Drosophila melanogaster: one gene and its partners. The protein of the gene in region 1 interacts with the protein of each later gene in a pairwise test. Each region holds a gene or a part of one and is shown on either strand. Other genes may lie near its edges.

Region 1 (11,552 bases):
GGACGAAGTACGATTCATACCCAGGGTGTTGGTAACCGCGGGATCAAAGGCGTCGATGGTCTCCTCATCGTCCTTCTCCGATATCGAGTACTTCATCTCCAAGACCTCCATACTCTCACCATTATGGACGTCGTTGTTATTATTATTATTATTGATGCTAGTGTTGGCGCAGTACTTGTGCTCCTCGGTCGCATGGAGTGCTGGATGCAGGAGAAATGGTTGATGCTGCAAATGCTGCTGGGACATCTGGTACAGAGTGGCCAGACTGTTGTTCCCCTCCAAAGAGTTACGGCTGGACTTCAGGAAGGGCAGCAGGAACGCCATGTGCTCGGTCAGGTAGTATGGCTTGTGCTGCGGCTCCGATCCGGATTGCTGCTTTATGTAGCGGGATAGGCAGGCCCGAAGGTTTCGCCATCGCTCCTTGCAATGGATCACTAAAGATTATGAAAGTTCTGATTAATTTAAGGGATTAATGTTTTTCCTATTATTGCTTACCGCTTTCTCTTGTCTCCTTTGAAATAAGCACCCAAGCCTTTTCCTGATTATCCCTGTAAAAAGTTATTTAAATTAGTTAAGACTGAACGTACGGAACGATCTGGATCGTATCTTCTGGCAGCCGATGGACTCGCCACTCACCTGTTGCGGTACTCGGGCACCTTCTTGTCGTAGAGACACTTGTGGGTGCGCACCAGGTTGACGAAGCGGATGTTGAAGTCCTCGTCCGCCTGCATCACTCGGTTGGTGGATCCAATAGAGGCGCCTGCTGTTCCGGATCCCGAACCCGTTGGACTGTGGTGGTTGTAGGCGGTGGTGCCGTTGGAGGTTCGCTCCTCGTGCTCGCTGCTGTGGTTGTTGCTGCTGCTGCGGGTTGAGGTGGTCATATTCGTTGGCGGTATCGTCCCTCACAGAGCCACTAAAAGATACGTTTTAAATTTGAAGTCTATTTAGAGAAATGTTAAAATAAACAGCGATTACCAGGGGTTTGAACGGGTTTGCTGTCATGTTGCACGTTATGATCTCAAGAAATGGCAACTTCAAGTTAAGTTAGCCACTCCAATATTTGATTTTTAGACTTTCCTATCGATGTATGTATGTACCATACATACATATGTATTTATATACAATCCTATTTATTTTTGAGCTGGCAAACAAACAGAATTCTCAACGACTCTTTTTCAGCTTTTTTGCCTTTTCTGCTGGGGTTTTGTGTTCGGTTTCTTTTCGTTTTGTCGTGTTATTTGTTTGTGTGTTGGTTTCTGTTCAGTTCGGTTCAGTTGTGTTCTGTTCAGTTCTGTTCCGCTGTCTGTTGCTGCTGTCTCAGCAAACGAGGCATAGAGCTTTTCGCTCATATATATTTCGTGAAACTTAATAAAACATTGTTGTAGCCGTGGCCGTTGTTGTCGTTGTAGTTGTAGTTGTAGCTGTAGTTGCCATTATATTCAGTACAGTTTGGCTAGCTGGATAGGATAGGAAAGCATTGCGTTGCGTTGATGTTGACAACTCGGCGGCGAAACGACGACAGCCAGCAACTTTGTTTACTTTTCATATTATTATAGCCACAGCAGCGACAATGGCAGCGGCCATAAAAATAACAGGCAATCTGGCTGTTTGTGCTGCTTGTTTGTGTTTTTGTTGCCGTTTGTTTCTGTTGCTGTTGCTGCTGGCGTCGAAAGCTGAAAGCTTTTGTCTGCTTCACTGATAACAGCAACAACAGCACAACTAAAGCAGCAGCAACAAAACAACAGTAACAACAACAACAGAATGCTTCAGCAACAACAGCAACACTCTGCTGCAGCAGCAGCAATTCAGTGCAGCAAGCAATGTTGTGTTGCAATATCCGAAAACATGTTGGCCAAAACCAAATCCGCTGAATAGTCACGAATATGTGTGCGAGTACCCACCGCACTCACTGCTCACTACTTGCAAACGATTCGCTCTCGCACCTGCGACTACCTGTTTCGATTCTAATCAGCCCACTCCACCTGTCCATTCACTCGACTGCCTACCCTTTTGCCGTCAGCCCCTTTCTATCGCGGCGACACTTGGGCCGCTCTTAAATCTCCGACAGTTTTCCCGCCACTTTCAGCACCTTTTGGGCCCACCAGTTTTGCAAAGCGAAAAACGTGCGCACAGTGGGATGGAAGTAATCGAAAAAGGGCATTACCAAAAGTATATCAAGGAAAAATATAATAACAATTTCCACATTGCTTGGAAACCTATTAGATGGTATTTTATATGTATATATATATTTTTTGGACATCTGTAAGTAAATCTCTGGAAAATCGTAGGTAATAATTCCCTTCAACTATTAATCTTAATATCAGGTTCAGAGTCCAATAAGTTTTCTATTTTTTCGGACATAAAAAAGTAGCAAGAGAAAACTCTAGCACTCTAAGCTGAACCAAACAAAAAATTAATATTGCTTTCCATTTTCGTAACACTTTGGTCCCACTGTGCGCTGGCAGCATTGTTGTGTTCTTTGGCCAGTCATCATTATTATCAGCGAACATCATTATCAAGGCGAACGTTGCTCGCGTGTTTTGGCTCTGCCCGTTGTTGTTTTTGTTAATGTTATTGTTGGATTGCTGTGTGCGGTGTGGGCGGGGGGAAAATGGAATGGAATGGGAATGGCGACTGGAAGGGGCAGAAAAACAACTAACCTGGGCTATATGGCAATATTTATTGTATTACGTCTATTTAACATAAACATATCAGCATGAGCGCGTACTAATTCCTTGAGAAATGTTCATGTTTATCTATTAACAACGGGGCTCAGCAAAAAGTACAGCAACGTACAAATCGAAAAACACAGAATCAGCAACAGCCAAACACAAAACCCAACGGAAAACAAAAACAACAACAAAAAAAAAGAATTTATTTCTAAAGCTAACAAAACACAGAAAACTTGCAGAAATACCCGGCCCGCTCTTTGTTTCCCTCCACCAACAAAAATACATACAGTATATTGTATATTCCGTGGCCCAATGACAGCAACAACAACAATCGCAATAACTTTGTTAGATAGACAACAACAACAACAACAATACACACAATACACACACACATTCACAGGCAATCGCACACAAGGAAACAATATGGCATATAGAATTTTTCTTTCTGCTGCTTATCAGGCTGTTATTGTTGCTGTTGTTCCTAACTTGTGATGTTGTTCCAAGCAAAGAATTCATTACCTTTTGGTTGGTATTCGTCGTTGGATTACAGAAAAACTCCTGTTGCAGAGGCGATTTCAAAACGCAACAACTCCTTGCTCGCAGCGATTTCAAAACGACACGATGCACGGCACACAAATAAAACGGCGCCAAAAATATTTTTGTTGCTGCTGCTGCTGCAGCGACCGACGACTGACGTAACGTTCAAAAATGTTGAATTCGAAAACTCGCGGTCGAGTCGACGGTGCACGGCGCTCGGGAATCGGCGGCGGACTGTTGGATTGTTGGCAATGTCGTATGTTTCGCGTACCAAGCGACCAAGGCGACTAAGCACACAGAGAAAAACACACAGACACAGCCACAAATGCGACTGCTGCCCTGCGAGAGCGAGCGGTGCACTGAGAGAAATAGAGTTGTCACTTGGCAATTGTGAAATGTAATATAAAGATGTTTTAAATTGGTAATGTATTATTAGCCCCAAACTTAATTAAAGGGAAAAATATAAAATTATTTGCAGACTTTATTAATGATCCATGTAAGCGGTATTAATTTAATAGTTATGAGGTTCAAACAAGTACCAATTAAACACGTATTCCCTCAGTGTATCAACCAGTATCTATCGGCTACGTAGAACACTGAAGCAACAGCAACAACATGACACGAGTGGACGGCGAGCAAACAGAGAACAACGCACACTCTCCGCCGCACACACACAGATACTAACACGGACACACACCAATGCGCCAATACAAACACACACAGCTGGCTGCTCAACAGCAGGGAACTTTTTATTGTTGTTGCTGGCAACGAACAACAAATAAGACAAACAATGCACACGCACACGAATGACGAGTGTTTTCGAGTCGGAGAAACGGCAACTGCGCGGTACGAAATGCAAAGATACAGATACAATGAGTTGGTTGTCGGTTGTGGAGGGTAGGAAAGGGACACAGGCCAACAAAAATAGTTGCACTGCATCAAGAGTGTTGCCTGTCGTTAGAGGCTAGTCACCCACCCCGAAAGGATCTCTCAAAGGATCAGCGGACTACTAGGTAATCCTGATCGAAATCGATTGATTCAAATGGATTTTCAAAAGATATATCATGTTCAAGATCTTTTTGTTGGGCAATACAATTTTTACATATGTATGTTGATTGTTATGTTGAATATAACTTCAGGCTTATTATTACTGTCTAATGGTAATGTTTCTATTTATTTCCACGTCCATTAACATGTATAATTGGTTTTCCCCAAAATATGTTAGTGAACAGGTGACAGTCGCAAATAGAAAATACACATTTTTTACGCTGTAACTCTGACAAAAAAAATAAAACACAGGAACCCAAATAGTTTACCTGAAAACTTACCTGCGAATTTCCAGTGATCATAATTCCATTGTGCGCTTCTTCTTCTTCTTTGCTCTAACTCTCAGGGAACATTGAAACAACAACAGTTGCTTACTCAGCACCGCACACAAACATAAACTGCGCTCTCACGGACACTACAACAGCTGTCGCTCTCAGAACCAACAACAAAGCGAGCAAACAAAAATCATGTTGTTGTTGCTCACAAAGCTTTGCAATTTCTCTGCCGCTAACATCGCTGCTTTTGTGTAGTTGTTGCTGCCGCCCGAGTTGCCAACAAGCTTTCCAACAACATTTGTTTACATTTCAAATTTATTAGGCGAGCTTTTCGGACATTTGAACAAGCTTCGTGGGCTACTCGCTAGGTGGCGCATGCTACTTCCGGTATAGATTTGAACAGCTATTTTTTTTAATTTACTTCAGAAATAAAATAAGCATTTATGCATATTTAAATATAAATAGATAAATATACCTGTTTCAGTTTCGTTAGAATGCACAATTTACTCTTGACTAAATGACTTCCGAGCAAACAAAATATTTAAACAATATTGTTAATAAAAAATAAGAAATGATTACTTAAGCTCTTACGTTTCCCTCCAACGGTCATTTGATATGTCATTATCCAAACACTCATATTGTTATTCACACGCGAAAAGCTCGACAAAGCTCAAAAGGACTCACTCCTTAGGCCAAAACTGTCAGGGTTTATGTATTCCGCCTGACAGCAGACCACCAACCCAGTTATTTCCAGCACTTTAACGATTTGTTTACAACTTTGTTGCCCTGCAATTTACCGCTAGCATACGGACCTGCCAGCCAGCCCAGCTTTTCACCCCTTTCCGACCGCTTGGAAAAGCTTTTCTCGGCGGGCAGGATGTCTTGTCCTGCGTGTGCTCAAAAATTCAATAAAAAGGAGGCTCGTTTCTGTTGTGGCCTACATGCCACAGCAAGGACGAGCAATCGGTTACCGAGCCGAACGCGGCCCGAGGAAAACTTGGTCACCGGGTGGGTAATGGGAAATGGAAAAGGGCCGAAAATGGGGGCGGGTGGCGAAGCAAGGAGCAAGGAGAGAGCTTCCAAGTGCAGCGGAGCTCAGTTGCCATAGGACAGTCGAGGCGAGTGCTCGTCCTTGGTCGCAACGGGCTCCCGGAAAAGCGGTCCATCGGCTGTCGAGTGTCATTGTTTTGGTTACGCGACTGCCCCGCTAGTGTTGGTGACCATCTGTGTGCGCTTAAAAATATATTCGACATGAATTATTTACGCAAAACGAGTGCTGGAAAGTTTTGAAAAGTGCGGAGAACGAGTGCGGAGTTGAGTAAGCGGAAAGTTTTGACTCGAAGAACACTTTGTCTGACAATTTGCAGCGGCATCAAGGATGCAGTCTCCTTTGCACTGGGATGAAGAATGCATTTTCCGAAGCGCAGTATGTGACTCTTTCTCTTTTCAGTGAAAAACCCCCCTCCATTTTCGCGCTCTGTCGCTCTCTCTCTCTCTCCCGCTCGCTTCCTATTGTTTTTCTCAGAGTGTAGAGTTTCGATTTCGTTAGAAAATCGAAACAAAAGCGAACCAGGCTCTCGAGGAATTGTGGGAGTCGTTGCTGCGGCTACCTGTAGATGCCACATAAACACACACAGATACGAGCGCAAGGATGCGAGTGTGTGCGAGTCCTTGAACGAGGCTTTCGGTTGCCCACCCACATGCCACATCCGTATCCGTATCCATGTCCATGGCTGCCTTTCACTGCCCGCTTCCGACTCTAATTAACTTATGATTCAAGGTCCAATACGCTGCCACTGAAGGTTAAACATGACGACCCAGCGATTTTCGGTGGGGGTTTTTTCGTAAGAAACTTTTAAACAGCCCGCTGGCAGCTGTAATTGAGCGAATTCCGCGGAAGCTGCACTAAACTTTTACCAAGAATCGGCAGGAGTCAAGTTTTTGCCGCGACCTAACTCGAAAGTCGTGTAATGCGATAAAGTGGAAACTTAACCAGGGATCATCTAGTAGTTAAGCGCACACAAGTCGTAATTTTATTTGGCTGCCAGGACCCCAGAGACTCGTCGGCAATTAAGGCTGGCCAAACAATAAGCCACTGGGCGAAAACCCAAAAGGAACAAAAAAACAATTAACGTTCTAGAGTGGAAAACCCGCATTACGCATACGCCACGTCGGCAGTCTGGCAACTTTGAGGTGCGACCTCCGGGGGCTGTGGAAAAGTAGCGGGGGCGCCGGAAAAGCTCTTTCCCGCTGACCACCGGCGGTGCCATCATACTCTCTCACCTCCCCGAGAAAAATCCCGCCCCAAAAAATGCAGCAGAGAGCGGTTTCTTGCCGCTTTTTTTTTTTGTTTTTTGGCTGCTCCGCCGAAAAACATTTTCATTTCTCGCCTGAGCAGAAATTTCAATGATTTCCCTAGCTCAGTGTGAAACGAACCAACAACTCAAACGAAACGAACGCAAACGCGCGCGCGAGAAAAACAAACTAGAATAGAATAGAAGAAATTAACCTCTCCGCCGAAAAGGGAAAACCCCCAAAAAATATATAAAATAACACACGAAACGCTGAGGTCGGGGGCCCTAACCCAATGCTAACTGTAAACAATAATCGAACAAACGAATTTTTAAATTAACAGCGAATGAGTAATACCTGAGCGATTTATTAATCAGAAGCCGTGCGAGCAACAAAGAATCCACAAGTAGCTGGCCCACGGATAGATAAATAACTGCACAGATAATTGCTGGTACACGGTACTGGGCTCTATAAATAGCATCGAAATAATCGCGGAGACAATTGCAGGGCACTGGTGCAAAGTGAATGCGACTGAGTGCTGCCGGGCGGAACGCCGAGGATCTGTGAGTAGATAGAATAATATCCCCCAAAACCGCCGCATCCCGATCGCCTGGCTGCGAAATCGAAATAACAAACTTCAGTCACCTTGCGTTCTGCGTCACACACTCGGATACTTTGGGGAATGGGAGTCGTGTGGCATGGGTGTTTGCCTTCTCCATCCTCGCAACTACAGTAGAGCTTCCATGGCTTCAGCTGCACCTATTTCAAATGTCTGAGCCTATTTTGTATTGTAATTTAACTACACATGCTATTTATTTTCTGATCTTCCTGGTCAAATATGATATATTAATTAGTTTTTTAATTATCAATTCAAATTTTTATAGAGGTCATTAAATCTTCTAGTTCTCAGCACTTCTTCAATGGGATATTTATTTATATTTATTTAGCATAAAAGCTTTAAAGTGTACACTCAGTGTGAAGCTTCACTGTATTTGCCATTTGCCGTGTTGTTACTGCTGGTACTGGTACCACACGGCGTATGGGTGATGGCGAGCGGGCCAGCGGTTGGATGAGTGGTGCACACTTTTTATAGCCAGCAACAGTCACACAAGCCGCACAATCAAGCGCTCGTCTCGGTGTTTATGTCAATTTGAATTTTGCATGCGGCCAACAAACTTGAATGTGTCCTTTATGTTGGTGTTGTTGCTTGCGTTCTGAAATGTATCGGTAGGAAAAGGAGGTGTGGAAATGGGGGGGGGGTCGGTTTGGGGATACCGGAAGCTAACTAGAACTGCGCTTCATTGCAACTTTGTGTGCGACCTTTTGGTTTTGGAATGTGTGGGCAGTGGGCGGGGCACTTGTCGGGCGGAAACGGATATCCCGTGTGCTCTTTGCCTAGTTCGCCATCGCCGCCAAGCGCGTCTCCTGTTTGTCATTTCATCAACCTTCTTCTGGCTCCTAGCAGCTCCTCCTTCTGGTGTCCTTGCACATTTGCTGCGCAGGAAATTTTAAATCGAGTATGTGCCCACGGGTTGTCTGGTTGCATTTTGCTGTTTTTGCGGCTTTCTTGTTTGCTCTGCTTTCTGGGTGAGTCCTGATTTTTTTTCGGATTTCCCATCCTGTTGGCCACTGGGTCAGATTTGTTAGTTCACAAAGTTCACAACAGACGCAATAAAAGGAATTTTTAAAGCCACATTAAGATGGAACTGAAACTTTAAAGATTTTTCAAAAATTGTTTAAAAGTATAATTTTTCCGCATTTTTAAATGCTCGATATTTTTTGCAGTGTGTCGCGTTGGGTCGAAATGTATCTTCTACACGGCAGCAGAAAGAAGCCAATGCAAATAGCCTGTCGGGGGAACAGACCCACAACGTAGAAAAGAGGCGGACTGGGGGAATTGTTTCTCCGGTGGCTGGACTGCTCCTGTTGCATATCCCGTCTCCTGGACTCGTCCTGCCACTCGGTGGCTCGTGTGTCCTCCCCCGCTGGGCCTAGTTGCTCATTCTGGGCGGCACAACTTGCATATTTGCCAAGATTTATGTCTGCTGTCAGACACACGCACACTCATCCACACATGGACTTTATGTAACAGCTCCCAGGAGCAACCTAATTTCCGTTGCCGCTGCTGGTTAAACAAGTTTCAGCCACTCATTGCACATCCTGTGGCCCCTTGTGAACTTACCAATCGGTGTCGCCACGCAGCAGGATGCCGAACCTACTCCGGATTTCGGATTTTAAATTCCAAATTCTCGACTAGAGGAAAAATCTGTGAGTTCGCGTATCTGTGCCAAATGGTTGGCCTAACTGGCAGCATCCACGAGTGCGGTCCTTGCCTTCGAGTTTTAGTGTTATTGTTATGCCTAGTTGGTGTTGTAATCCTTCGGCCTTCACTCCCACCCACAGGCATAAATACATGCCGGTATTAGGGGCTGCTACATCCCATAAACACCTAACGTCGGTGCTGATGTCGATTGCTGTTGTCTCCCCCGACTTTTTGGCTTATCGCGGACATCCAGAAGCACCGGGGTTTAGGATGGCCACTGCCCTATCCGCACTTGAGGATAATAAATTAGGAATTCAAACTTTTCGTAACCAAATGCAAAGAACTCAGAATCAATTAAGTATAACAATCATAACAAGGTGTAAACTAATGATAGCTTTTAGTTGAGTGCCTTGTACCACCAATCGGATTCACCTTACTATAATTCATATTCAAATTTTCATAGACAATAGTCGGCGGGCACTATTGTTTCGCCCGATGGTGTAGATGTATCTCAGTGTGAGTGCGTCGGGCAATTTCCCTGCGTAAGAGTGTTGGTTGACTTCAAGCAGCCTCAAGTTGCTGTCGCTCGTTGTTCTCGTTATTCTTATTATGTCAACCACCCAACCACTCCCCCTCATAACTGCCATTTGCGTAAGTGTAAGTGCATAGTCGTGTATGAGTGTGTTAGGTGCATGTGTGTTGCTTCTCAATCCTTTTGTATTTGCCACAACAATGAACGTTGAACATACACACACACACGCGCAATGGATGGGGCAATGGCAATGTGAGTAAGGCAGACTCGCCACATGTGTATGAATATTTCATTATATATATCGGATTTCTAGAAGCCCCATGCCCCTTTTCGATCCAATTTCGCCATCACCCAGCTGTGAGAACCCGTCAAGTCCTTCCCAAGTGCCTGTCGTTTGGCCTGATTTCAAGTGGAACTGCTTCTGAAACACATCAGTCCGATTTCTCTAATTATTCAAGTGGAATTAAAATGTAATACAAGCTAAGAAGAGGTAATCCGATTTAAACATGCCTAAGAGATTTCAGCAAATAATAAGATTTTGAAATATTAAAAAATCCCATTAAATTCATATTTTCATAAAAGCAAATAAATAGTGTATATATTTTGGACATTTAAGTGTCAAAAGGTCAAGCTTTAGCAAAATCTCTAATGCGATTTTTATTTGCCTTCGAATCAATGTATTGTGCTTAAGTTTCCCATTAGCATGCCAGTATCCGGCTTCTTTGATGGGAGAAATATCATCAATCAAATCCGCTCGTGATTTGCATCATTTGCCTATCAGTGTCCGAGTTCCACCAGCAATTTGCCACCATCTCCTCCGACCACAAGATTCCATTTCGGATTTGGACTGCCTGTGGATTGTTTTCGGCTCGGAAAAATGTTTTCATGTTTCGATTTCCGTCATTCGTCAAACTTCCACCGAAGGTCAAGGAAAGTGAGTGACTCAGACATGTATTTCTGTTGCTGATTTCCGCCATCGTTCCATCTCCGATCTCTGACCAGAACGGAGGAGCAATGCCTGTCCGTAAAACACGAATGATAAAAACAAAATTAAATGTCTACGAAATCGAACAGATATCGTAAATAATGGAATTCAAAAACAAGAAGCACAAATATGCTTGGCAATCAAAAACAAATTAAAAAGAACATTTTAAATTCATAATCTGCCAGCCAGGAAATTGAGATTTCTCTGGATCGGACAGCTGTTGTTTGGGGCTATGGAATTGATTTGCTTTTAGTTGGGAATTTCACTAAGGTTCAATGGCAACCTCTTTAAAAATGTATTCTCGTGCTTGCGCAAAAATTTACCTGTTTTTTTCTTCCTAATGGGGTATTTTCTAATTAAAATTTGTAGGATGTTTTCTGTGTTGTTTAGAGTATGCTAACTTCTGTTTGCGGGTGACATGATGTTCCATTCTCTTGTTTGTCTTTTAATTTAGAAATTGTATAACCTGTTTACTTTGGAGCAGAACCATCATCCACTCCCCTTGTAGGCGGGTGCGTGTCTGTATACTCCAGTTAATGGCCTGTGACGTGTACAGCAAAACAGCTCCACCCACAAAAGGAGCTACTTTGCGACTGCGTTTCCCACATGCCCGAGTCAGGGGAGGATTTCCCTAAGCTCCTTGCCAAGGGGGAACATGACCAGATGTGGGGTAATTGCATTTACAGGAAAGTGGGGCACATGTGACGGTCGACTGCATATTAAGTGGCCACTGGCCAGGGCACTTCAGTTGGGCCATAAAGTGCATGCCCTGCTATTAGCTCTGTTCGGGAATAACCAAGACCGATATTATCCACAAACCATTTTCAATTATCACCTATTAATACCAGGTCTCGCCCCCCACCGGAGAGATCTTTGTGACGGAGGTCGTGAGTCAGCCGCACATTAAACGCCTGTCATTCAGCCAATTACCTGACCCAAGGCAAACAAA
Region 2 (10,675 bases), on another chromosome or scaffold:
AACGAATCTTCATGAGTAGACTTCGGATTACCGTCTGCTTCTGCTGGATGGGTCGCTTTTGATCCTCCGTCGAATGCAGCTGAAGCTGGAAACGCATTCTTGTCAGCTTTTCTGCCGCCTGCTTTCGCTGGGGTTCGACGTAAAGCAATAGATTGTTTACAATATCCAGAATCATGGCGTACTGCAGCGAGTTGGTGCACACATCCAGATCGTGATGCATAAGTGTGAAGGCATCTACGGGATCGTCTTGTTTTTCCCATGGCGATTGCAATTCCTCTGAAGGGGGCGGCGGCACCTCCGTAATGCTATTCGGATCGATGGCATCGCCGTAGCTCACATAGAAAAACTCGCACTTACACTTGGACACGATGCGCTGCAGTTGCACGGGTTGAGCCCCTCCCGAATTGTCGCTCAAGAAAGCTCCAACAGTCTCTGAGACTACACCGCCCACACTGCGTCCACTGCCCACCAAATGTGATATGTCCGGCAGGTTGTTTATCACAGTCTCGTCCTTGTCCTGAATGTTGTCCACCGTCAGCCACATGATCTCCTTCTCCAACAGGGAATTATTATCCCCCGCGCTAACTGTTGCATAGTACTGCATGCACTCCAACAATCCCTTCCATGTGGTTTTCGAGATCAGCGAGCGCTCGCGCCAAACTGGCCGATGTTCCCGCTGCAAAATTTCAGCTTTGGCAGCACTGATAATTACGTAGCCAGAGGTCTCACAGCCCTTAAGCAGTACTTGTGAGTTCACCAGACTGATGGACCAGTTCTCGTGGATAATATCCTGGGCGGAACATGCCTGCAGGCCCTGGAGCTGCAGTTCCCTCGACTGGGTGCTATGATCATCACTATACACATTGAATTTGTGGTCCGCCTCTGCGATGAGCTGCTGCAACATGGCTGTGGCATGAATCTGGGCGGGGGCTTTTTTCATCGATGCATTTGGATTGGAAACTAGAAAAAAACGTTTTTTAGAAAAGAAAACTTAAAAGTTATCCTTCCACAACTCACTTGGCAAAACCTCGTTGTTGGTGCTGGACAAGGTAATTGTGCTGTCACTTCGCTTATGTTTCAAAACGGCAGAGTTTGGACCCTCCTTGCGATAGCTCTTTACCGCCTCCGTGGACAAATTGTTTTTCAGTTTCTGTGACTTCATGAAGGAATCAAAGAGAGCAAAAGCCACATCTCGATTGCTCTTTGTCCAGGCACCCTTTAGGTCATAGACCACCAACTTATGCGTAGGCGTCGTGGACTGGGCCTTAACATCCTCTTCCGTGCTTGTAGCCGTCGTGGGTATCAGTGCCTCGCGTCCATAGGAAACCTTGGCCACGCTTAGGAAGTAGAATCTCACGATTTTGAAGGCATCTGCTGCACTGGCCAAATTCTCAGAGCTACTGTCCATCTTCTCGGTGAGAATACTCTTAAGCCAGATCTCGGCGTCATTGAGCTCGCAGTTCATGTAGATTGTTGACCAATCCGCTCGTGGCCGATGGATGAGCCCATCGTCAATGGGATTCAGTGTTAGCGAGTGCTCAGAACTAAAAGATACTCGGCGGCCGTTCAACTGGAATCCCTTTTGGAGGGCGTGGGACATCCAGTAAAGAACTTGAAACTTATGCAAGCACATCTGCAAGTTCGCCTTTTTGTAGTGTCGACTAAGGGGTTTCTTACGCGGTCTCACATTGTTAAAGACCGGACCCCGTCGCGTGGGCCTCGTCACACCTGATAAAATGAGCTGCAGACTCTCAAACCATCGCAACGTGCTGCCGTACAGCACCAGGCTGGGTATGTCCACTTCCAAATCTTCGCCCGCCTTAGGCTTCGTCTCAAATGATATCCAAATGTTGAGATTTAGCGAGCGGAAGGCGCGGAAGGAGTCATGGACTTGATTACTCGAGTACTCCGGCAGCTTGTCGGGGGCACAGGGCATCACAGCATGGTGGTCGTTGGGATTAGCCAGGCACACCCATTTCAGCTTAATCGTCAACTTAAGATTGGGAAAATGAAGCAGACGACAATCGTCGTAGCGGGACGCTGTTCGTACAGTCACCTAAAAGAAAAGCATATTTAAATTCGTGCAAAAAACTATAAAATTATAAGCTACACACTCACATTAAGTTCCCCTTTAAACATGATCTTGGCATTTGTGAGTACAATGCCGCAATTATTCCAGGTCAACTCCATTTCCTCTGTTGTGTTATACGGATCGAGCGATGCGTGCAGGAGTATGGTAAATTGCTTGGCTATCAGAGTTAACCGACCATGCAGAAGCAATCGCAGCTTATCCCAAAATGGCAAAGGGGGAGAGGGATCCTTTGAGGGCGCCGATATCTTCTCGAAACTTAGATTGCACTGGGCCATTACAGGTTCCCAGCAAGCTCCAAAGGCGTAGCTACAGCTCTCCAGTTCGCAATCAAAGTCATGGTAGAATTTTAGCGAGGGCATGCTGCGTTGAATCACATCCGTACCAAAGGGTTCACCCACGTCAATGAACACATCTCGCTTGGCTCGCTTGGAGCCCATTTGCTCGGCTCCACAAAGGTTTCCGTACAGTCGCATGCTTTTTACGCAGAACATTGGTTGCGGGAAGTCCCTGAAAATTTAATCAATAGATTATAAATATTGAATCAACTCGTCACAAAGATTCCCACTTACCTCAGCATGAATTTCCATTCAGTGCAGCTGATGTTGACACCGCGGCACCAAAGTGTAGAGAACTCGAGACCCTCCTCCGGCCACGGACTCTCGTGATCTATTTCGCGCATAATGCGCGTCACATTATTGTAGCCATGAATGGAGGTGTCCGCCATTGCCATAATATTCACGTCCGTCATGATCCAGGCCAGCAATCGGGTGCGTACTGGTCCACTTTCTCGTATTTTCTTCGAGCGCTGAATGTAGATCTCCGAGTTCTTCTTCACCAGGTTGGCGTAGAGACCCTCAATGGTTCCAGATGGCAACAAGAGACGTTCTGAGCAGAGCTCGCCGATCTTCTTGTCAAAAAGCGCTTTGCGCTTCAAGCTCTCCAAGTATTCATCCACTAATAGAACATAGTTATCACGAAGTTTCACCTCAAAGGGATCGTCGCTAATTTCCAGCAAGAACTCCTTGATCTTAATAACCAAATCACAGGGTAGCGGTGAGTCCACCGTAAAGGGTTTCTTTTTGTAGTTGTGAACCATTTTTAGCCATTTAAAGTGCGATGTGCACTCTCCATTGACTGCGTTATAAAAGTCGTGGTCATACGGGAAAATGGCTTTAAAGGATCCAATTGTGGTGACCCACACCTTGTTGGAGGGCAGTTGAAAACCAGGAAAGTTTTGTCTTTCTTGGGTGAGTACCTCGAGACGTGGAACTGATTGTAGATCCAGCTCCTTCACTGTGAATATGTGCTGATCATCGATCTTGACAAACACATTCTCCGCATAAATGATGCATCGTTCCTTTTGGCTAAAGAAGAGGCTTTCCACAAAGATCTGAATTGAGTGACGATCAGAAAACTTAATTTCGAAGATGGTGCTACGTTCTGCAGACAACTCCACTATGAATCCTTCTTTAGGAGTTGTTTTCTTAACAGACGAAGCAGGAATAGCCAGCTCTGTCTTCAAGTCCTGCATATCGCGCACCAATGTCAACAGGTGCATGTGCAAATTAGAGTTCCACGTGGCCTCCATGTTGCCGGGTATGTAAATGGACAACTTGCCCATCGTACCCTCCACTTGTTCATGCTCCAGTCGTATCATTTTGCATGTAGCAAAAACGTCAGAGAAGTCGGTGAGGCAAAGCGAAGAAGCCGTCATTGAGCGCATTATAGCCATCTGAAACTCTTCGAGCTTTAGGGTGGTCAGGCTTTGAGACCGTGATAAATTCAGCTCTGAGAAACTGAGCAGCGAATAAACATTGTGATGATTGACAAAGTAAGCCGTAATATCCTTGACCTTAACAGACACCCGCAGTGAGGTAGATGATTGTGATGGCTGCACGGACAATGTAAGGCCTGCATTTGGTCTGGCGTGAGATTGTCCCGACATATTCTTTGGTTTTATGCCCCGGTACTGCCGAAGGCACTCCATTGACTTGACCACGAATTCCGCAAGCTGCATGCTGTATTCCGTGCGAAATGTGTGCACTGATATGTCCAGTTTAGTGGTGTTTGCATACGAGCAGAGCTTGACCAAGCTCACTCCGAGGAAAAACGGCGAGCCTGGCGAATGAGTCTTTTTCAAGTTGTTGGTGTCGTTGATGGAGTTACCTAGATTTGACCAAAGAGTTTCCACCATGAGTTCCATGCTCCATTGTCGTTGATTCAACAACAAATTGAGGAACTTGTTCTCATAGAGATTACTTCGCTTTTCCTCGATCTGCTCCAAGAGGAATCTTGTGTGACTCACACTCATGGCAATATGCTCATCTTCCAGTTTCATAAGAAGAGAGACATTAAACAGTTCCGCACAGCCTTTAACAACAATTCGCTGCATAATCCACTCTAGAACTCCGCCCTCCCGTCGCTGATTCGCTCGCAGATTACTCTGCACAGCCGTGTCCAGATCCAAGTGATCCGGCAGGGACTTCTGCTTATGTATCAACTGCATTGGCTGCGCTTCGCTCGATCGCTGGCGGGCCAGAAAATTGTTGTTGACAAAGTCATAGATCTCGCTGTGATTATATATGATTTGGAATGTCTTCAGTTTTACATACAAGTTGAATATGTCTTTTTCCAGCTGAAAGGTATAGTATTATAATATTGCACTAATTGGGCCATAATGTGTTTACTTACCACAGAGTCTATGGTAAATTGTTCTACAAAGAGGAGCTTTTCATATTTGGTGTCAATGTCTAGATGATGAAAACCCAATTTGGCAAGCATTGACGGTAACAACGTCTTTTCATCGGTGACTTTCGAGTTAAACTTTCCCGAGATCTGTGCAGATTATGTATTATTATAGATTAGCTCATAGTAGTGGTATTAACCTACTTGAAACGACTGCAGTTTGGCACTAAAATCGTTCTGTGAGTTTTCTTTGACGGCCGAAAACGTTGCCGCCTTAATGCTAAAGTTAAAGTTCTTTGGTATAATGGGCGCCAGCTTCTCGTAGTTGTCATTGTCGTAGGACCTTTTCGAGGGAGCTAGGCCTTGAGTGGAGCGCCGAGATGGCTGACCGGTCGATGTCCTCCGCTTGGCCTCACTAAGGAACTCGTACAGTCCGCCGTGGATGACGGATTTGGCATTGTTGATGACCAGACTTAGGGTCTGCAAACGGGAATTAATAAAAGGAATACTAAGGAGTCAAAAAGTCACTTACATCCATGGACAGAGGGCCTTGGGCAAAGAGCGACGCATCCAGGGTCATGTCAAAGCTGACCTCGCCTAGGCAAGGACGAATCTTGTTCAGATTCTCCAGCGATTGACGGCGAGAGCTGCAGTGCCTCAGCATCTTGGCCTGTGCTTCGCTAAGGGCTGCATTGACCAACAGAACACGAGCATTTTGCACTATACTCCCGTCCAAATGAAGCTCCTTCGCCGTGGCATGGATGAACCACCCCGGATCAAAGTCATTGTTCATCAGAACCACTGATATGTTGTTCACGTGCACTGCCATAAATTGGGCAAAGGTGATAATACTCGCCGGCACCTTAGTTTGCCGGAAGTCTGGCACACCCTTCGCCTCCGAGGCTTTGCCCGCCAACGTCTGAGTCCGCCGGAGTTCGTAAGAGTCCTGGTCGTAGGAGTCATCCTGTCGACTGTGAATGTCTTTGTTGATGCGAATGTCACGGATATAAATGGAGAGCAGCTTGGTCACCTCGGTGGTGAAGAAACTGCTGCGCAGACACACCTCCTCGATTTGCTGTAAAATTAGGAGTGTTTATCGCTTGGTAACCAGAGTTCGAAGGTTATCCATACCACCGAGAATCCACTCTTGCTGATGTGCACATTCTTCAGGGACAAGTAGGGCAGCGAAATGCGACCGATCCGTACTTTGACCCGAAACCTCTTCACCAAATACCAACTAATGCCCGTGGGCAAGACCCTAAAATGGAAAGTGATCAATTTTTTATGTTTATAACGATGATGGATCAATCATGGGGCCACGGAACAGGCAAAACTAACCAATAAACGAAGATGAAGAGCGCCAGGCAGAATAGAAGTAGCTGTAGCATCATGTTGTTGCCTAAATACCATAGTGTCCCAACATTTATGTTGTGCTATTTATGTTTTGAAATTTTTTGACTAAATACTGAACAATTTACTAGTTGCGGCAATAGAGTGACCAATGCATACTATTCAAAAATACCACAATAAGCTATCAGTTTTTCAAATACTTAGCCCTTGCAAGACAAGCTTGTTCGCAAAATGCATAACTTAAACAATTACCGCAATTACCAAAATTTTAGTTACAGTGTATAAAAAGAAAATGCATTCTCAATTAGAAATTAATAATGCAAAGAAATGCATCCCTGTTCATGTGCGACTTTGACTTGTCGCATCAACAAAGCTCGTCAGGGGTTCAGGCTTTATTAAATTTCGGCTTTCCCCAGACGGTCACACTGTGGCTTTATATCTTTTAAAAATAACAAAATCAAAAAGTTATCTTATCGCTGCTCCCGCGCCCGTTATTCCATTGTAAGCATGCGAACGTGAAAATTGGCCAAAGAAGTCGCTATGTTGCTGCTGGAGCTGAACATTCTGACCCTGAATATATGGTGAGAGCAGGCATCTCCTTCTAAGGCTGCTGGAGCCCCACTTCCCTTGACACCGATCTGCACAGGCTAATCATGTGCACTTTCAGGGGCATTCCGTATGTGTCGAGTGATCGCAGACCCCGCATCGATGCCATCTGCAAGGAGCTGGCTAGCGGGAAGTATGACATCGTGTCCCTGCAGGAGGTGTGGGCGCAAGAGGACAGCGAGCTACTCCAAAAGGGCACGGAGGCGGTCCTGCCCCATAGCCACTACTTTCACAGCGGCGTGATGGGCGCCGGTCTGCTGGTACTGTCCAAGTACCCCATCCTGGGCACTCTGTTTCATGCGTGGTCCGTAAATGGCTACTTCCACCGTATTCAGCATGCCGATTGGTTCGGCGGCAAAGGTGTGGGCCTGTGCCGCATACTCGTCGGCGGGCAGATGGTGCACCTATATAATGCCCACCTGCACGCGGAGTACGACAATGCCAACGACGAGTACAAGACACATCGCGTTATTCAGGCCTTCGATACTGCTCAATTCATTGAAGCCACCAGGGGGAACTCTGCGCTGCAGATTCTGGCTGGCGACCTGAATGCCCAGCCACAGGACATCTCTTACAAGGTGCTGCTCTATACCTCCAAGATGCTCGACAGCTGCGACTCGGACTCTTTTCGGACCAACGAATGCGAACACAACTCATACACATCTAAGCAAGCACGGGAGAGAAATCCTCTGGGTATCCGTATCGATCACATCTTTGTGCGTGGTGGCGATCATGTAAATGCTGAGATAGCCGAATACAAACTGCCTTTTCCGGAGCGAGTACCCGGCGAGAAATTTAGCTTCTCCGACCACGAGGCGGTGATGGCCAAGCTGAAGTTATTCAAGCTGGAACCTAGAAGTGAGGAGCCAGTGGCAACGATCGAGGTGAACTGCCTGGTAGAGGATGGTGAAACCTGTTCCGTGAGGGAAGTAGGAGCAGGGGATGCTTTGACAGGAGAGGACGATCAGTCATCACAACACCAGCCGGAGATCCAATGCAATGGAAGCTCCACTTCCATTCAATCCATGCCCGCCGCTAGAACTGCTGCCCTTCTTGAAGCTCTGGCGCTGTGCGATGCTTCCCTGCTGCAGTTAAACACTGATCGAATACTGTACTACAGCGCCGCCACCTTCCTGTTTGTCCTCTTGGTCCTTCTGGTGGAGTTCACCGCCCCCGTGGGCATGCGCACTATCTTTCTGCTGCTCAAGTTCATCGTGTTTGGCGTGATCCTGTTCTGCGTCTTCATGGCCTCCATCTGGAACTATATGGAACGAAATGGGGTCCTGCAGGGCAAGAAGTCGATGGAGGTGATGCTGCACCACGCCCAGAAGTACGAGTACTTCTACTGAGGCTGTGTATAGCAGCCAAGCTCAATGCGCATTTAAAATCCACGTGTAGCGTACTATAAGCAGCGATATATGTTTGACTAGAGTTATAGCGCTCTTACTTGATCTTTTTATTCGTGTAACCGTCAATGCAATTCCATGGTCTCTTTCTGTGTAACGTCATCCATATCCCAGGAATAATAGTTCAATAAAAGTGAGAATCATTTAGGCAAACAAAGATTGATTGATCTAAAGATACCTTTTGTATCAACAATAATATAGTTTGTCGTTTAATAAGCAACAATATATATGGTAAGCTCATTCATGGTTATAGAAAATTTCATAACTACCGCCCCAAAGTATGCAGTACTTGGTCGCTACCCATTATCGACAAATAACCACAGAACTGTATTAATATTACGGTGTTTTTAATATTTTTTCTTTATTCTCGAGTAGAAAACAGCTCCGCATAGCCCCAATCTGGTACAGTTTATTCGGGCTTCTTTCCCTTAGCAAACTCGGCCTTCTTTCCCTTGACGGGGGCGGGCTTCTGGGAGCGCAGGACAGCGGAAGCGCGGCGGAGGGCAGCCTATAAGCACAAGTAAAATCATTAGAATAGGCCTAACACTGAAGTACGATAAGCTTCAGCTTTGAGAGCTTCAGATAAGTTTATCAACACGATCATTCTGCGATCTTGGTTGTGTAGCATTAAAAAAAAGATCATCATGACAAGAACCCAAACAGTTGTTTCTAGGCTTGGAGCCATAATCACCTGTGTCAGGTCCTTGCGGTACTTGGAGCCGATAAGCAGGTTCTTCAGCTTCTTCAGGGAACGGCGGGGACCGGCCTTGAAGTCAACACGCACGGTGTTCTTGGCGGGGCGCTGGGCATACTTGCCCTTCTTCAGCACGGCGGTGAAGCCCTTCTTGTCGGCAGCTGGCACGACTCCCAGGGTCTTCTTGTGCACGATGCCGCTGTAGCGGTACGAGCTCACGCTGGCCAAGTTGTTTGGCTCCTGGAAGGGATTTAGAAGTCAGTAATGTGCTTGTCATATCATAGTAGTGATGAAGCCAACTTTTATCAGATTAAAGTTACTATCATGTTGTATTCAAATATCATTGTGAAAGTTATAAGTTGGAAACATCATTTAAATGTGGTGCACGTTATTTAAATCCATATTTACTTACTGTGCTGAAGGGCTTCTTCACATCGCGCTTCTTCAACAAGAAGGCGTTGTTGTTGCGAATGATCAACCAATTGAGGTGCGAAGAGGTTGCCATCTCACGTCTGGAATAGAAGTTAAGAACATATTAGTAATTGCTCAGGAAAAAGCCATATTTAAAGTTTTTCAAAGGTATTTCAGTTTTGGGTGATGAATATAGTCTTCAAGAACTCTTCTGCTAAATCAATCCTCATTAAGCCACAACTGAAGTACTCAATATAGATTTTAATGCTTACCTTTTTGATCAAATCGCCAGAAACGCAAGCAAGAAAGGGGAACATGAAATAAAAACAAATTTCGTGATTAGATTAATAATTTCTATATTAATTTCTTGAAGAACTGCAACGTTTTCAGTTTTGGGTGATGAATATAGTCTTCAAGAACTCTTCTGCTAAATCAATCCTCATTAAGACAAAAATAAGGATTTTGAACACATTTTATATGCTTACCTTTAAAGGAAAATCAATAAATTACACAGCCAAAAGGTGAACATGGAACAAAAAGAAAGTCGGCAGTTAGATTATGTTTTTCTGAATAAAAGACAACGATATTTCTGTTATATTCAGTCTTGGGTGATGAATATAGTCTTCAAGAACTCTTCTGCTCAATCATTCATCACAGAATTAATCACGCATTTTAAGACCACACGTGTTCTTACCTTTATTGAAAAGATCCATGTAAAATCAGCAGTAGGAAAAGCAGCATGCAAAGAAAGAGAAAAACGATATTAAATTTGGTATTGATCAACGCCACGTTCGCTTAGTAATATAGACTATTTGATTAAGTCCATTATGGGTTCGCTACAAATTAATTCAAATTTTTATTCACTATTTGCCCGCTGCGTTGCACGTGTGGGTAAAACTCAATTTACCTCCGAGGTTTAGCGGGCCGGCAGCCAAATAGACGGCAACACGTGGTGCAGGCATTATACCTCTACACTTGCGGAGCGCTTGGGACGCTGAGAGAACGCTAGAACTTAACCAAATCGAGAACAAACGCAAAATGCCCACCTTTTCTCGTTGAAATACAAGAAGGAAAGAAATATGGCAGCCCGACATAGCGCGAAGTTGGCTGCGCTTGCCGAAAACACTGGGTTGCATTCTGTGTTGTGCGAGTTGGCAGGGCAACTATCGATAAGCATTTCGTACGCTAACACATAGCAGATAATATTTAAAATTTGTCTGATTTGTATTTTCAAAACTACATAACATGAATTTAATTTTTGCAAATTTAATTGCTTATATAGTTTTATAATATTTTTGTAGCATATTTTTAGAATATAAGCAAAAGCTATGGTATTGATTAATTATTTGCGAAAACTCCAAAAACTCATAAATTTACGAAGACCCTTGTGATTAACAATTTTAAATCAAGTGATTATAATTGATGCTGGCG
Region 3 (11,089 bases), on another chromosome or scaffold:
CGTGCATCAACCCGAACTGGCTGCGGGGCAAAACATCCGGTGTCCAGGTGACCAGGACTCCATTGCCGACGTAGTCCTGCGGAATAGAGGTTTACTAACGAGCTCTTTTCATTTCGATTCCCAACTCACCTTTGGTGCCGCTTCGAAGAGTATCTTAACCATATAAAGGCTGAGTCTCGGGTAGACTATACGCTTCTTCGGCTGACCCGGCACCTGTGGTTCCATCGGTGGACGTACGTAGGGAACGAAGTGACCTTCTGCATGCCGCTCGAAGGCGCGATCCAACTGCAGCTGTACGTTGGAGGTGCTAAAGATGCGCTTCGCGGTGTGCGGACTCGCAAAGTGCCAGGTGTACTTGCTGAGGCCTTTATGTTTGCCCGACTCTATCACAGTTAGCTTGTCCAACGGACGTCGCTTGACTCCAGTACTGAAGCTCTTGCAAAAATGCGAAAAGGTTTCCTTGTGCACATGGAAGTTCTGTTGCACCAAGCGCTTGGTAAGCGTGTTGCTTTCCGTTTCCAATGGCTCGCAACTGTCGTTTAGCAGCTCGATCACATGATCCAGCCATGCCGAGTAGGATAGAGCCGGCTGAACGGAAGCGTCCAAGCAAGCGGATGCAGCTGACGCTGCACCATTCACGATTAACTCCCTTTTGGCCGGCAGAGAGGGCTGCTTCAGGGACTTCACTTCGGTCACTATTTCCGAGAACTTGACCGGTGCCTTCTTGACCATCGATATGGTGGCCAGCTCAATGGGCAGCTGATCGGCGACCACAGAGGGCGTGGCCTCGGTGAAAATGGGCGGAGCAGCTAGGATGTTGTAGGGTTCACTGATCAAGGGCAGTTCTATATCCTCGCTGCATATATCCAGCTGGTCGGTGGGCTGGAACTGATCCATCAGCTCGATATTGCAGTCGGTTAGCTCGATGGGCTCCGCATAGACATCGAGGTTGGACAAGAGCTGCGAGTCGTTGGCATAGTGGATCAGGGCATCGTTGGTGCTCGAGGCGCTTTGGCTAGATGTGGCGGCCTGCATGGTGTCCAGGTTAAAGACGCCATCGGAGAGATTCGGCAGAGAAAGCTATAAACACGAAAAGGTTTAAAACTGCTCGAGGTGGAAGGTATAACTTACATCTAGTTGGTCGCCAAAGACAAGTATGTCCACCTGCGGGTCGAGCTCATCCACCATGTCCAGGCTGAGCCGCAAATCCTCGGTGGCCACGTCGCCTAGCGGAGTTTCCAGCTGCAAGGGCATCCAGAAGGTCTGCAAACCGCTGGTGAAATGGCCATAGACGCGTTTTCCCTGCGGCGAACTAAGGATGCCAGCCAGGACGAGCAGCAGGTGATCGCAGATCTCGTCCTGCATCACCAGCGAATTATCTGGCTCCACAATGATCTTCAGTTTGCGGCAGGCGCAGGCGTAGCTGCTCTTCTTCTTGGACAGGCCATTGGCCGAGACGGTGACGTGCAGTCGAGCCGCTGGAAAGGATTCGGAGCGCTCGCACTTGACGGCGAATGTGGAGTGATTCAGGCGCTGCACACCCGGCAGGTGCTCCTCCTCCTCCGCGTACTTGTACAGCTGCCAAAGGTTCTGCTTCTGCTCCAGGCTAATGTTCAGGTTCCACAGCACCTCGCGGGACACGCGGTAGACCTGCGCCTTCGCGAACTCGGCGCCCAGCTCCCGGCAAGCTTTCACATGGACGCAGTCCGTCGGCTCGCCTCCCGTTCGCTTGCACGACTCCACGAAGCACTCCGCCTTGCTGGACACCACTGCAGCGTCCGGCTGCAGCGACAGCGTGACGTCCTGGATGACCACAAAGTTGCGCGGCTGCTGCTCCTTCTCCTTGGTCCTCAGCGAGTAGACAGTGGAGCCTGGCCGCAGCGACACCAGCTGCACGGCATCGAGAACGTTCCTGCGCTGCGGACACTCGGAATTCTTGCAGAGCAGCGCCCGGTTGCCATTGATGGCGCCGCAGTGAACACACTTGCGAACGCCGCGCATGACTCTTGCATCTTAAATTCCCGGAAAATGGCTATAAAATGCGTTTCTTAGTTTTCGCAAAAGTTTGCCGGCTTTTGATTTGCGTGGCGCAGTGTGACCGTTTCGCGCGCTGATGCCAGCAGGGCTGGCACACACATTCTACATATGTGTGCATTAAATTAATTTTACTTTTGAATTATTGCTACAGTTTTTGCATACACTACATATATTTTACATTTATTTTTCATAACATTTGGGCTATTCCAGCCAGCTTGTGTAGGCAGTGCTGCGCAGCCCTGGTCGCATCAGCCGCTTGTTATCGATAACCAAATTGGCTACTTTAATAGGAAATTTGTTATTTCAATTTAAAAAGTTGACTTTCCGCTAAAATGACGCATCCGCTGGAGGCGCCGCAGCGCAGCCGCAAATACCCCTTCGTGCATATGCGCATCGCGGACCACAGCGCACTGGACACCATCGAGGGGCGCCACAACTGCCGCCTGTGCAACCGATCGCGCAAGTTCTTCTGCTACAGCTGCTGTGTGCCGGTTGGCGAGCTGGAGGAGCTGCTGCCACGTCTGGAGCTGCCGCTCCAAGTGGACATCATTAAGCACAAAAAGGAAATCGACGGCAAGAGCTCGGCGGTGCACGCGGCCGTTCTGGCGCCGGCGCACGTGAGGATCCACACATTTCCGGACATTCCCGACTATCGCGAGGAGGCGGGCGTAGTGCTCATATTCCCAAGCGCCACTGCGCTTGCGGTGCCGCAGCTCTTCGCGCGCAATGTGCAGCTTCAGATCGGCGACAACTACGGGCTGCCCAAGGGCCACCACATGGGCACCATGCTGCGCAGGCGAATGGACGAGGTGGAGGTAAAGGAGCTGCAGGAGGAGGTAGATGAGCCGGAGACGGTGCGACGAACCTGGACGCTAGACAACCTGCCCGTCCGCCGAGCCGTCTTCATAGACAGCACATGGAACCAGAGTCGCGGGATCTACGCGGACGCCAGGGTGCGCGGCCTACGAACGGTGGTGCTGCAGAATCGACTGTCGCAATTCTGGCGCCACCAGCGCGGCAGTCCGCGCTGGTATCTGGCCACCATCGAGGCCATTCACCAGTTCCTCCTGGAGGTGCACATCAATGCCTGGGGCCTGAACACCGCCTATCGCGGACTCGATAACCTGGAGATCACCGCGGGCTTCCATCAGCTGGCAGAGCCGCTGACCAAGACAGCTGCCAGTGAGAATGTGGGCAGGGAGGCGCCCTACAATGGGCAGTACGACAATCTGCTCTTCTTCTTCGCCCACATGTACGATCTCATCCACAAGTACTATGACCACAACGACCTCATCGCCTACCGACGACCCATCTAGCGTTCTAATGGACATACATATGTATATATATATATTATATTGGATGTAGTGAGAAGTACACGTAACTGCTGGCCTAACTAACTACTGATCCCACTGATTCTACTGCTTCTTCTTCTTCTTGCCCTCGTCGCCGGACTCGGAGCTCGACGACTTGGCGTCCGTATCGATGGGTTTCTGCCATTTGAGCGCATTGCGACGGTACAGCGGCCACGGTGGAATGGTGATCTGTGCAGGAATCTCGTGCTGTTAGCAATGGAGCTACTAACACGACAGCTACTCACCAGCGAGGAGAGCACAAATCCGGCGCCCAGGATGTACACGGTCTGTGAGAACTGCTGCACGAAGGCTCCGTAGACGAGGCCCACAATTCCGAAGAACGTGATGATGAAGCGCGACCAGCGCTCCGCCTTTCCCTGACCCGCGAAGTCCTGCGGCGGTAGAGTGCCGTGTTAGTGTTATGTGCTAATGGTTGCGAAGCATACCTACCATATGCGTCTGGATGTCCAACATTTTGTGCAATTCACAAGCTGCGATTCAACAATTTTCGGCGTAAACAATTTTCTTTTGCGGCACGTCAGCAGCCGAATGGTGTGACCGTGCCGAGCGAAAAATGCCAAGGGGATGAGAATATACTGGAATTTGGAACTCGGTGAATTTCCCATTATTTTTGTACATGCTTATTTCCCTCTTTTTCAAAATAAGTGTGTTTGAAAAATAGCGAAATTGTTTGTAGCTTTCAATTGTGTTTTATTATTTTAAATTTAAAATATGCAAACAAAACGGAGATTATTACTCTCTAAATGATGTTTTCCTTTGCAGAGTAAGCTCTTGAAACAAAATAAATAAGTTCAGTTCACCTTTTCTTATGCAAAATATGTAAAATAAGTTTATAGAAGGCAAAAATGTTGCATCTTTAAATGATTTATATAATTTTAAACCACGCCAATTAATGCAAACTAATAGCCCATTTAAAATACTTAACTTCATTTACATATATGTATGCATGCATATCTTTAATGCAATTATAGTCATTTTATTGAAAAGGCTTGCGATGTGAATAATCGCTCGTTGTTCATACATATGTATATTATTTGTACAATGCGTTCATAACGTGGACGTTCTGGCTTGTGTGTCACTATAACTAACTAAATAAGTTAAAAGGCGAACAGGTGGAATGTAAAGTGTAGAGGACCTCGCGCCTCCCGATTCATGGCAGGACTCAGACCCTGGCGGCCTTCGTGCGCCGCAGCTGGACGACATTGATCACGCAGACGAGCAGCCATGCGAGCAGTGCGATCCAGGCAAAGACCAGGGTGAAGTACAGGCAGGCGGCCGTATTGATGCGCCCGTAGCGTCGCCGCTCGTACGACACGCTCTCCACCAGATAGTCCATGAAGTCGAAGACGGCGGCGCACGAGAGCCGCGACTTGATCACGGGCACAATGTTGCCCACGCCCTGGATCTCCTTCAGCAGCGACTCCCTGTACTGCTTGCAAGTCACCTCGAAGCCATCCGTGAACACGGCCGAGTAGACCAGTTGGTAGACGGCCATTATTGTCGAGATGACGGTGGCGGGCAGCCCTAAATTAGTTAAGTATTACACATTTGTACATAGTTAAGTTCGGAGACGATGGACACTCACAGTAGTAGGGCGAGAGACCATCGGGCGTGAGTTCCGACTCGGTGGTCACCACGATCATGTCACCGGAGCTGCAAGCAGAGAGCAGAGAGGCGTAAGCAAACAGTTGATGCTGCTCCAAGTTGGAGCCCATGATGGCATTACTCATAGCCAGACAGACGAACGAGTGTGGCTGGCCGATTAACCCCATTGACCCGCCGACACTCGATCGCGATCGCCCGCTCTTACCGCTGACGGATGGTGGCCGTGCCCGCCTTGGGCTTGCCCCGACCGATGCACATGCGGTAGCCGTGGTAGACGCCCAGGACGACGGCGAAGAGCAGCGGCAGCAGCAGGCCGTAGGTGGCGAAGTGGCAGTAGGCGACGTTGCCGCCCTCGAAGCTGTGGAACGTGCTCTTGCCGTGCAGCACGCAGCCGCAATTGGTGTCCGGGCAGGCATTGAGCACGTACTGCCAGTGTGTCCAGGCCACCGCCGAGGTGATGCAGCAGACCAGCGATGAAACGATGGCCAGCGGGTAGAGTAGGGACAGGGCTCGCTCCGCGTAGTACGACATCGTGCGAATGGTATCTGCTCGCAGGAGTATCTGAAATAAGCGGACAAGTGAATAGTGAATAGAATATGGGTATCTTTGATCCCCAGCCAGGTCAAGTTGATCTTAATTCAACTTTAAAGTACTTATGGTAATGGGCAGTCAAGTTAATTAATTGGCCACTTTTCGAGCGCTCTAATTGCTCATCTAATTGTAATTATGCCCAATTCGTTCAAGATGATTGCTTAAACGCAATTGTGGGTTTCGTTTTACATTTCCTCAAATGGAGAAAGAACATTATTACTAGCTGTTCAAATTTAACAGCAATTTTGAGTTTGTAACGAAGCTTTTTTCTAAGAAGTTACTAACAATTGTTAGCTTATCTGATTAGTTTAAAAAACTCCTTTTTTTGACGATAGTGAGCATCTCTTGAAATTTAAAATCGATAACTTTGCAACAACAACAACTCTTTGGGCGTCCCTTAACACACACACACACTGTCGCACCTGCCCAAACACACACACATAGAACAGGTTGCAACGCGCACTGTACCAGATATAAACAAACTATAATGTTTGCAGCTACCACTTTCGATGTCCCTTTAAGCAGCTGAATTTCGGTTGCGCAAAGCGTTTAGTTGTTCGCTAATGCTGTTTCTATATCACATTTCTCACAGAATTCAGGGATAAACAGGAAAACTGCACTGCTGACACATACACGCACACAGGCGCACTGCAGGCACACCTACGTTTATCGATATCGATAGGCGGGCGACCGAAGAAGCGACCGAACGGTTGAGCGGCGAAGAAACGACTGAACGACCGTCGTTTCGCCACTGCGTTCTGATCAGAACGGGCCGCTAGTGCTAACGCTTTTAGCCGTCTGGCAACGCCGATCACCAAAATTCAAATGGGATTTCCGTTACAAGTGATCTGTGTTTAAAATTTTATTTTTGATTATTACAAGTTTTATTTAAACTAAAGCGCAGTAACTAGACAGTATTTCATGACTATGTGTTTGAGTTATGTTAGAAGTAAATTTCCCGAGAACTGGGCCTAATCAATTTTCCTAATAACTTGGAGCGCATTTGCCAACTAAGCGAATTCCCTGCACCCACTGTGAGCGTATAAAATCGCTGTTTGCCGGGGTGAAAAGCATTAGTTCTCCCAGTAAATCCAATCATGGCATCCCCAGTAGTCAGCCTGCTTCTCGTCGGGATCTGCGCCCTGGCCTTTGTCCATGTGGCTCGGTCGGAATGCTGCACCTCCCGGGAGCTGGTGGAATTCAAGATGGACAGAGGCGACTGCGAGGCTGTGCGTGCAATCGAAAACTATCCCAACGGCTGCGAAGTGACGATCTGCGCCGATGGTGTTGCCCAGTTGGGCGCCTACTGCGGCCAGGGATCGTGCAACATCTTCGGCTGCAACTGCGACGGCGGCTGTCTGAGCGGCGATTGGTCACAGGAATTTGTGAGGAGGAACCAGCAGTACGGAATCCAGATCATCAAAGTCACCAGGCTGCCATTTTAACCCCTTGCATCACATAAACAATAAAGAGAAGCTTTAATTGCATCCAGAAATTACTAATTAATTATGTGTATTTTATTTTATATATGCATGAAATTGATAAGGTTCCCACTTTCTAATCAAATGTAAACAGTTCAATCTGATTACTAGGAACTATTCTTATTTTTAATCTTGAATTCCATTAATTACGCTATTAACTAAAACTATTATACTAAAAAAAAAACAACTATCATCAAAATCTGAGATGATATGGGCTAATTTTTGAATAAAATCCAGTGCTCAAATCATAAGAAGTGATTTTTTGTAGTTTCTAGCATTTGTAATATCTGTTTCCCAACGATCGACCACGCCCCCTGGGCAACCGCCCCTCTGTTGGCCGCTCGCCATGGGAAAAGCAAATGACGCCTGCACTCGCAGAGATCGCCCCGAATAACCCCTCCATATCCACAGATCCACAGATCCCCAGATGCCCATGTAGCCATGTACTCCGCATGTAGTACGATCAACTAGCCGAGTGAATTTTGGCATAAACCATTTTCCGCGGACGCCTGATTTTCTCAGTTTTCTCAGAGTTGTGGAGCCGTCGAGAACGCGGAGCATTCGCCCATGTAAAGCCGCAGAATCCGTCGATTTTCGCCGGAATTTATCAATCCGATTTGCCAGTAATTTGCAACAGAATAAGTGAATTTGCCAAGTGAATTTCCCTAGTTTTTTTTTTCAACTTGCAACGAAAGTGCTAAAGTTACGAAACTGCACTTTCCACGTTGCACTTGCAACCCCAACAGTTTTTTCCACCAGATCCACCAGCTGAGGGAAAACTATTAATAAACCGGGCGAAGGATGAAACAAATTCAGATGTGACGCCCATCCTCGTCGAAAATCAAAAGTCGCAAGTGAACAATGTGTGTGTGTTCACTGAGTTTGCATAATTGTGAATTTGCTATTTTAATCGCCTGCGGGCATCAATTAATTAATTAATTAAAAGCTTTCCTTCTCGCACTCGTTTATTTGCGGAAAGTGTCTAACAATTTCGTTTGATCAACTAATCAAATGGGTAAATAACATAGTAAAAACGAAGTTTTAACTAACTGCTTTCGCTTGCTTACTTAATATACTTATACTTTCCAGAACTAATAGACTACTGAATATAGATTTCCTATTAATTTGCTTCAAAATGTGGTAATTTAATTAGCTTAGCTGCTTGTAAACTAATAATTTCTAAATAACAATTAGTTTGAAATGCTCAGAATTCAGTGTGACTAATTGGGAAAGCCTTGCAGAAATAGTTTAGCTCATGAATGAATGTATCTCATGCGAGTATAGCCGGCACATCTCCTCCCTTAGTTAGATACATAGATACATAGATACATAGATAGAAGCGGACGGATCCAGCAAGACCATACATACATACATATTGTACAGCTGAGACAGCGAACACCTTCAGCTTTCCGGCTGATCCCAATCCAAATCGCGAACTAGAGCGCAGTGCCCACCATGGATAATTGGAATGTTTTGGCAGCGCAAACCTCCTCGCAGGCCATCGGACTCCACGACTCTGGCGTGGTGAAGACCCGACTGGTGAGTACCCTGTACATAGAACATACACATGTGCAGATAGATATACATATTAGATGTAGTAAACAAAACAAAGCCAGACAGACGAACGATGGCGTATATATAGAATTCTTGGCAACAAACATTGTGCACTGAGAAAGTAAAAGGGGTTCGAAATCTATTATTACTATTAAATATATATATGCAAAAGCAGGCTGTGCGGAAATGTATCTTAAAGTAGGCGCTAAAGGATAAAGCTCAGAAGGTTATTCCTCGGGAAACAGAAGCATTTTCAGATGCATCTTAAAGTATCTAAGAAGTAGAAATATCTTAAGATGAATCCATAGGTTATCCGAACCTACAAAAGGTAGATACTATCAGCAATATCAGATACTTTTAGATATAAGTAAAATATAGTAAAATATCTCGAGATACTTTTATACAGCTTACTAATGATTTTGAATCTGACGAGGAAAGGAAGAGATTTGGCAGGGATTTTATCAGCATGTTTCTCCACGTGCACCGCTGGGTGAGTGGTGCTGGTGGTTCTAGTGGTTCTATTTGTTCTTAAAGAGTGCGTGAGTGGTGTGGTGCGTCGCCCGTGAACAGCACAGCTGATGCATCCGAAAGTAGAGTGATTGAGTGATGCGATGTGGCAGTGCTCTCGTTACTGGCGCTGGTCTATAAATAAGCCTAGGGTTCTCTTGAGTCTACTACTGCCTGGCGGATCTTTGGAGATTCCGATGGCACGTCGATGGGAATGCGGCTCGCAGTAGCGCGAAAGTAGCTCGATACGACGGATATTCTCGCCTCGCAGGCAGAGCACGCGTAGTTTGCCCCGTGTGTAGCTATATTTTTTTTTTATATAAGCAAGTGGTTCCGAATCATCCACACCCAGCCATGGATATATCCACCGATATCTGGGGTCAGCTGGCCGTGGAGGCATCGCAGGTCTACCTCTCCGACGGCACAGTTCGCAGTCCCTTCGCCGATACGGTACGATGGGTTTGGGATATTACTTAGGGATCCCACTCATTTGGGAGAGCCAGTCTGTGGCGTAAGAGAGAGTATCTATAGATTCACTCACCCGTAGAATATATAGCACCACATTCGCACTCAACTATTCCGAACTGTCGTTTAGATTTACATTTAGAGATCATATTTGAATCACTTATGTAGTACCATAGGATATACCACTATATATCGTGACTCTCATCCACAGACCATTGAGAAGCTGCCGGACAAGGTGCTGCTGCACATCTTCTCGTATCTGTCGCACCGCGAGATCTGCCGCCTGGCCAGGATTTGCCGACGATGGCGGCAGATTGCATACGACACGCGGCTGTGGAAGAACGTGAGCCTGCGACCGGAGGTCTCCGGACTGCACGTGGGCTCGCTGGAGATGCTGCTGCAGCTGATCTCGGTGAGATTCGGACCGACTCTGCGCTACATCGAGCTGCCCATCGAGCTGATCACGCACACGGTGCTCCACGAACTGTCCGCCAAGTGCCCCAATTTGACCCACATGCTGCTGGACTTCTCCACAGGTGGGTGCGCCACGTCGCCGATCGTCCGTCTTAAACTCTAGAGTGTCCTGTGTACTTCTTAGCCATGCAGCTGCACGACTTCAGCGAGATGCAGGCCTTTCCCACCAAGCTGCGCTACATGTGCGTCTGCCTCTCGGAGGTGATCTTCATGGAGGGCTTCATGCGCAAAATCTACAACTTCATCAACGGCCTGGAGGTGCTGCATCTAATTGGCACGTACGAGAAGTGCGAGGAGGAGGAGGAGGAGATCTACGAGGTGATCAACGTGCACAAGCTCAAGTCGGCCACGCCCAATTTGCGTGTGATCAACCTGTACGGCATCAACTTCATCGATGACTCGCACATCGACGCCTTCAGCTCGAACTGCATCCAGCTGGAGTGCCTGGCCGTCAACTTCTGCAACAAAGTGACCGGCTCCACCCTGAAGACCCTGATCCAGCGTTCCAAGCGCCTCACCTGCCTGCTCATGAACGGCACCAGCCTGAAGTCGGAGTTCGTCATGCAGGCCGAGTGGGACAAGTGCGCCCTGCAGGAGCTGGACATCACGGCCACCGATCTTTCGACCGAATGCCTCGTGGACATGCTGAGCAGGATCCCCAGCCTCAAGTTCCTCTCAGCCGGCCAGATCAATGGCTTCAACGACAGCGTTCTCAAGCAGTGGATGGAATCGGGCACCACCAGGTGAGCGGAGACAGTACCTACCCGTCTGTGTAAGCACTCCGATAGCAGTATGATTTAGGTCGCTCATTTCCCTGGACTTGGACTCCTCGGACAACATCTCGGATGAGGGCCTGCTTAAGTTTATACAGCGCCAGGGTCATCAGCTGAGCGCCTGCTGTCTCTCGGGCATGCCCCACATCACCGACCAGCTGTGGATGAGCATCCTGCCCCTGCTGGGCAACTGCAAGTAGGCGACACTATTGGTCATCGAATGAAAAGA

Evidence for each region.
Region 2: the proteins of jp (region 1) and nSMase interact in a two-hybrid assay, tested with the Drosophila melanogaster proteins (one large-scale study listed by BioGRID).
Region 3: the proteins of jp (region 1) and CG2310 interact in a two-hybrid assay, tested with the Drosophila melanogaster proteins (one large-scale study listed by BioGRID).

What each region holds. Positions count from the first base shown.
Region 1 is NT_033779.5:9,560,838-9,572,389, reverse strand, and holds the start of jp (junctophilin), read left to right. Parts: upstream 1-5,639; 5' UTR 5,640-5,957; intron 5,958-6,951; exon of another isoform or gene 6,952-7,386; intron 7,387-11,552. Other genes in the region: brwl (brickwall), read right to left, coding at 1-434, 496-548, 637-881.
Region 2 is NT_037436.4:3,212,637-3,223,311, forward strand, and holds nSMase (neutral sphingomyelinase), read left to right. Parts: upstream 1-6,519; 5' UTR 6,520-6,667; coding exon 6,668-6,708; intron 6,709-6,794; coding exon 6,795-8,082; 3' UTR 8,083-8,289; downstream 8,290-10,675. Other genes in the region: hob (hobbit), read right to left, coding at 1-960, 1,018-2,056, 2,119-2,599, 2,662-4,727, 4,784-4,927, 4,982-5,257, 5,310-5,852, 5,909-6,035 and 1 more; RpL28 (ribosomal protein L28), read right to left, coding at 8,549-8,647, 8,831-9,073, 9,246-9,338.
Region 3 is NT_033777.3:29,487,176-29,498,264, forward strand, and holds CG2310 (uncharacterized protein), read right to left. Parts: upstream 6,344-11,089; 5' UTR 6,075-6,343; intron 5,577-6,074; 5' UTR 5,547-5,576; coding exon 5,221-5,546; intron 5,064-5,220; coding exon 4,996-5,063; intron 4,935-4,995; coding exon 4,573-4,934; 3' UTR 4,349-4,572; downstream 1-4,348. Other genes in the region: CG2321 (uncharacterized protein), read right to left, coding at 1-76, 130-1,080, 1,132-2,001; CG2006 (uncharacterized protein), read left to right, coding at 2,370-3,353; Spase12 (spase 12-subunit), read right to left, coding at 3,453-3,578, 3,635-3,781, 3,840-3,863; diedel, read left to right, coding at 6,704-7,051; FipoQ (F-box involved in polyQ pathogenesis), read left to right, coding at 9,503-9,598, 9,825-10,149, 10,212-10,830, 10,889-11,056.